Regions from separate parts of the Mus musculus genome. Here region 1 is reported to be linked to region 2. Evidence: microRNA targets listed by miRTarBase, many of them from high-throughput screens and not tested one by one. Region 2 holds a microRNA gene; the other region holds the end of a gene's coding sequence.
The links. Region 2 holds the annotated microRNA mmu-miR-331-3p (GCCCCUGGGCCUAUCCUAGAA, at 1,465-1,485, shown strand). A microRNA usually pairs through its seed, bases 2 to 8, with sites in the 3' UTR of a target mRNA and lowers its output. Matches are read on the target gene's strand: a 7mer-m8 pairs with bases 2 to 8, a 7mer-A1 pairs with bases 2 to 7 and ends in A, and an 8mer does both.

Region 1 (3,000 bases), not on the chromosome of region 2:
ACTAACTGAACAAAAAAGCTTTGCTCTGACCAGATCCTTAATTAGAGTGCAGAACAAAGAGGAGATGATATACATCAAATATGTGCATCACATAAGGTGTGCTATTCTCATCATGGAACATCTACAACACTGAATGAAGTTGTATCATTTGTATCTACGTATCTATGTTCCTCCATACATACACATATGTACGTATAAACATATACATATAATATTCATTTATAACCTGAAACCACATATTTTCTTTGTTCTAGAATGTGATTTTTTCTGTCTTATAACTCCAATAATGAAGCCAATGTGGAATCAAAGGCACTTTGTAACTGTGCATATGAGGAACGATTGGTTTTTTTTAAGAAAAACAAAACAAGACAAAACAAAACAAAAAAAACAAAAAAACAAAATACCCGAAACAAGTGGGAACTATACAGCAGAGGATATGTCTTCATGATAATGCAGAAAATCCAACCATCACAGGGTAGCAATGCTTGCTACTTAAAATGTAGACTGTTCATACAGTGGGCACCAGTATAAGTTGAATGTGTGTATTACTGGCACCCTACTGATTTTCATGACCTTGGCTTCAGCCAAAGCCCAGACCTACAAATGGTGGCCTTTCTTAGAAAACCAAACAGACATTATGAACTAACCAGTACCCCAGAGCTCTTGACTCTAGCTGCATATGTATCAAAAGATGACCTAGTCGGCCATCACTGGAAAGAGAGGCCCATTGGTCAGGCAAACTTTATATGCCCCAGTACAGGGGAACACCAGGGCCAAAAAATGGGAGTGGGTGGGTAGGAGAGTGGGGGGGGGGGGACTTTTGGGATAGCATTGGAAATGTAATTGAAGAAAATACGTAATAAAAAAAAAGAAAGAAAGAAAACCAAACAGAATGTTTCAGGCCATTGTAGTGGAGCAAAGGGACAACATTTTCTTGCCCCCTGCAATTAACAGCAACAGTTAACCATTAGCAGTCTTTGTATTCAGAATCTCTGCTATGACGTGGGTCTTCTCTCATATCAATTTTATTGACTAGTGCATAGAAACTAGTGGCATGCAATGAAGTCTCAAGAGTATTCATGCTGTTGGTTCAAAATAAAGTCTTTTTTGATTGTATGTTCTATATGTAAGGGCTTTTGTTGTTATTTTGTTTTTATGCACAGATCAAGTCCCCTGTGATATGTAAACACATTTGTTTGATATTCTTTTGTTCTCTATCAACCAATAAAAGCATGGGAAAGACAAATAGGAATATATCTCTGTCAGTGTGTGTGTGTGTATGTGTGTGTGTGTGTGTGTGTGTGTATTAAACTGGATCTGAATAAACACTCAAAGTTTAGCAATGCATTTTGGAGGTACCAGATAACATTTATTTCTAGGATTGCCACAAACAAATAAGAGGCATTTCTTCACTTCTTATAAGAGGCTAGAGAGATGTCTCATCAGTTAAGAGCACTTACTGGTTTTGGTCCTGTAAGGACATGAGTTTTATTACCAGCATCTGCGTGGCAGCTCACAAACATCTAAAACTCCAGTTCCAGGTGATCTGACATCCTTTTTTGGACTCGGTGAGCAGTAGACACACATATAGAACACACACAGACATACATCCTTGTAAAATACCCATAAAACATAAAATATGTTTAAAATGAAATTAATAGTAAAATATGGAATGTGGGGAATGACAATACATTTAGGATCATATTCTATAAGCTATGAAGGTCTATTTGAGCCCCAAATAAAATATATTTGTCCTCCTCCTCCTCCTCTTCCTCTTCCTCCTCCTCCTTTTGCCTAAAGGCAATTGTATAAGAGGAGAGTCTTTCCTTGAGACATGTCCCCAGTCCTTACCTACTACTGATCATGTAACTACTCCTCCTTCAGGGAAGGAAGGCCTACCATCTAGAACTCTCAGTTGATGTTTTCATTACTACATCCACATTCTACCTCAGCCATCACTGTTGTCATCAAAATTTCCGAACCTTTTATGAAACAAGAAGACATCCGTATCAACTCTACAGGGACTATAAGCACTTAAAGTCAAATAGAGAACCAGTTTATACAATTAAAAGAAATGAAAACAAACAGTAGAAAGATATAAATTGGGGAAAGCTACCCAAGAATAATTACCATAAAAGAATCTAAAATATGAATGGTTATATAACAAGTGAAGGAATGGAAGCAATAGTCAAAAACCTCGCCAGCAAGTGAACCTCAGGCTCAGGGTGCTTCAACAGTCAACTCATTTCAGTATTTAAAGAAAACTATACCAATCATTTGCAAATGAATGTTAAAAAGAAAGAAGGATAGGACACTCCAATCTTATTCCATGAATTTAGTGTCCTGATACAGAAACATTACATGATTAGAGCTATGGAAAATTCACTTCTAGTGCATTTTACACCTATCTATTCTGTTGGCATGTCTTTTTTCAGTGTCGGTCACAGCCTGGGCAAAAGACTTGCAATATACAATCTCTTTTCTGCCTCCTCTTAGCCAACTTCATTCTGGCATTGGAGCACTCCTGTGGTATAAGTAGGCTTTGACCATCACAGTCTATATATTTTTAGCTAGTAATTTTTTAGCACTTTTACTAATTTCATGTTAGTGTTGGGTTCAACTATTCTCATTTATAAATATTGTCATATTTAAGCCCAGCTATTAATTTTTTATGTAAATAAAAATGTAAACATATTTCTTCAAGTTTTGTTCTATGCTTTTTCTGTAATATTAAATATCATTCTGATGTGATATTGTTCATGTTTGTGTTCTGACTTATGTACTTAAAAGCTTAGACATTATTGAATGCCTGTATATCTATGTAGCTATGAACTATATACTCACTATCTGGGAGTTCCTTTCAGAACTATATGACTTCCACTTAGGTACTAAAATTAATGTAATACTAATCATCTTTATAAAAGACTCTAAAATATCTCTAAACAATTAAAAACAAAAGAACAATAGCTTCTCTTTTTTGAAATTTTCATAGAAATGTAT
Region 2 (3,236 bases):
GAAGTATACATTAAAAGTTTCCCATGATTCATCAGTGTTAACTCAGTGGCAGAAGATCCACTGTCATTCAGTAGTTGGCATGCCTAAATTAGCCTTCAGTGTATAAAATAAGCAAGATTACATTTTCCAATAATACTAGACTGTCTAGAAGTGGCTCTCCTAACATCTGCTTAGTTGTACCGTTTATGTGCTGTGCTTTGCTAACCATGGGACTCGCTGTCATCATATACAGAGTGAGTAGTGTGTCAGTCTATTTTATTCTCATGCTTCATGGAACTCACTCTCATTACATTCAGCGTGGATGCTGTATCAGACTTTCATAATCATGCTTCATGTGGCTGCTCTCCAGTTACCCATGTTATGGAAGGGAATTATGATATAATAATTGTAAGAAGAATGGTCCAAACCAGTTCCTTGTATTGACACCATTGTAGAAGAGACAGTGATGGCAGACATGATTGGTGCTTCTCTCTGAGTAAGCTGTTAGAGAAGCACAATTCTACCCAGTGCAATTGCTGTAAACCAAAAAGAAGGAGTTCATACCGGGGTTTACATAGGCAAGATTCAGCAGGAATTAGGAGGAATTAATTTCATACCTATCTTTAAATGTGTGATCAAATCTAGGTGTAGTGGCACATACCTTTAATCCCTGCACTCTGGAAACAGGCAGGCATATCTCTGATTTCAAGGCCAGCCTGGTCCACATAGTGAGTTCCTGACTGGCCAAGGTTTATATATATAGTGATGATTGTGTGATAGATTCTAATGCCCATGGTGTCTTTAAAATGCAGTCCATTAGAATCCACTTTAGTGTGTCAGCAGTGACATTAGTTTTATCCCTGTGTACTGAGATTCACTTAGCACATATGTTGCTCAAGTGGAAATGATGCTTAGGGTGTGTATACTTCTGATTATACAAGCTGAAAAATTGGACTACCTGTAGATAATGCTAAATAGATATTTTTTCTCACTTATTTCTTAAGAGTTTCTTAAAATAGATAGTATTATTTTAGGATTTATAACAGTTTTATAACATGTCCTAAAGACTGACTACATACAAATAAGTTTATTGTTGCAAATCTCTTCTAAAACTAAAGTATGTCCTTTGTAAGTTTGCTCTTTTACAATGACCTAAACAACTTCTTAGCCCGCTTTTCCTTCCAAGTTAAATGACTAAATTGACTCTGATTCTGAGTCCAAGTATGTTCTGCATTTTTCTGTACCTTCTGTTCAAGTCTGTGACTTAAAAGTGCTGAGGCACAGTACTGGTGTGTGACAATATATAGAAGGCTCCAAGAATGTCACTCCTATCCCTTAAAGGTTGGTGTGTGGCCCTGATCCAGCCCTGGAGGCCCACATGGGTGAGAAGCCCAGAAGCCCATGCAAGCTGAAAGCACTCCCAAGGAGTCTGGTTTTGTTTGGGTTTGTTCTAGGTATGGTCCCAGGGATCCCAGATCAAACCAGGCCCCTGGGCCTATCCTAGAACCAACCTAAACCCGTGCATCATTCCTGGAACACCCAGAGGATGAAGACCGAAGATAACTGAGGCTGACTACACATCCTGTACTCACCAAGATTCAGTTCTTATATATGTACCTATTGTTTAGCAAGCCCTGGCTGGTTAATCTGTCTGGAGTCAAAATAACAATATTTGGTAATAACAAAGTCTCCCGAGGCTGATACCCCAGTAGTTTCCTATGGTAGAAATTCTATGTGGTTGTTATTAATTCCCAGTGAGGAGAACTGGTCTTGTGATTTTTATCGTCAGATAAAACTGATTTAAATGTCTATTTTAAAAAGCAGCAATGTAGCCACAAAACCGTTCTCAAAACAGCCTTCTTCCAAACTGGACAAATTGTCTTTTCTTAACTACTTCCAGTGATGTCTAACCAGTCTCTGTCAGCTGTATGCTTTATTGGCACTTTCGGAACGGCAAGCATCTGTCTTCGTCTTCCCACTCTAATGCTGAGTGGCTCTAAGTTCTTGTTTCAGAAATTAGTATGTTTTCCCTGTCACTGGGTCTGCTGCGCAGCAGAGCTCCTTTTAAGGTTTCTGTGGCTCAGGACCATGAGTATGGTGAGGTAGTAGATGGTTAAGCCCGTGGATTTTGCAGCAGTATTGTGCAGAAGAAAATTTTAAGAACTTCAGTTTTCTTCCTGATCTAATAAATATATGTTATGACCTCATAATCTAGCTGGCATTACTAGAGTCAACTGTGTGTTTATTTGTTTTGATTTGGAAGACAAGAATTCTGAAAATGCATGAAGACCCAAACTGAAAAATTATGGTAAGCATTGACAATTTATGCTTTTGATGTTTTGTGCAGACTAATAAACTCTCCATACATAAGGAACTCAAAATCATGCATTCCTACCAATCTTTATCACACTACCAAAATTTACGTCACCCAGTCACAGTTCCAAATGGGCCTGGCGCCTATTGAGGCTCACCCGAAAAACTCAACTATTCTACACCATATTCATCCCATTTCTACCCCAAGTTTATGGGAATTTTTTTTATGCCACAGATTGAGTTTTGTGCTTCTCAGTGTTTTCTTCCTTGGAGTGTGTGCCTCATGAACACACTTACCTAAGAGATCAGCATTGCCTAGAATCCATGTGCACACACCAGGTTGATGTGTAATATGTTTTGTGAGTATTTTGGGGGCATTATACTCATTTACATCATAAATAGAGACCAAAAATAGAAATTATGGACTGTTTAATTAGGTTTGTTTTTTTGAGTCAGGACCTCATACCCTAGGTTGGCTTTGAACTTGCTGTATAGCTAAGGTTGGCCTTGAACTTCTGACCTTCCTGCTTTTACCTCCCAGGTTCTGTTACTGTAAGTGTGTACCACAGACCTGGCTCTGTATTTTTGTTGGTGGTGGTGGTTTTTGTTTTTGGTTTCGAGGCATTATGTAACTAACAATGACCGGCCTGGAACTTGCTGATCTTGAGCTTCTGACAATCCTCCTGCCTCCACCTCTAGAGAGCTGAGATTACAGACATGCGCCACCATTCTTGGCAAGGTTTGGCTCTTGAGTAAGGTTTTAAAGTATACTCAGTGGTAAAGCACTGGCTATGAGGTCTAGCTCTGAGACCCTCCACCTCCAAAGGGCCTTGGGATGGTTACTAATCTTTATATACTAGAACTTTGAACTCTCAATTCCCTACCCTAACTGAAGACTTATGGTTATAAAATCTGGGCCGGAGGGTGCTTTTTTGTTTAATTGC

Region 1: the mRNA of Ms4a6c is a reported target of mmu-miR-331-3p. Seed matches in the 3' UTR shown: 7mer-A1 at 758-764.

The regions. Positions count from the first base shown.
Region 1 is chr19:11,480,952-11,483,951 of GRCm38, forward strand. Ms4a6c (membrane-spanning 4-domains, subfamily A, member 6C) reads left to right here. Exons shown (of 7, transcript NM_028595.4): 7 at 255-1,246. The coding sequence ends at 261. BE692007 (a long non-coding RNA gene) reads right to left here and starts at 1,628. Exons shown (of 2, transcript XR_003952860.1): 1 at 1-1,628.
Region 2 is chr10:93,962,032-93,965,267 of GRCm38, reverse strand. It overlaps Mir331 (microRNA 331), which reads left to right and starts at 1,405; the gene lies at 1,405-1,500. Vezt (vezatin, adherens junctions transmembrane protein) reads left to right here. Exons shown (of 12, transcript NM_172538.5): 12 at 1-3,236.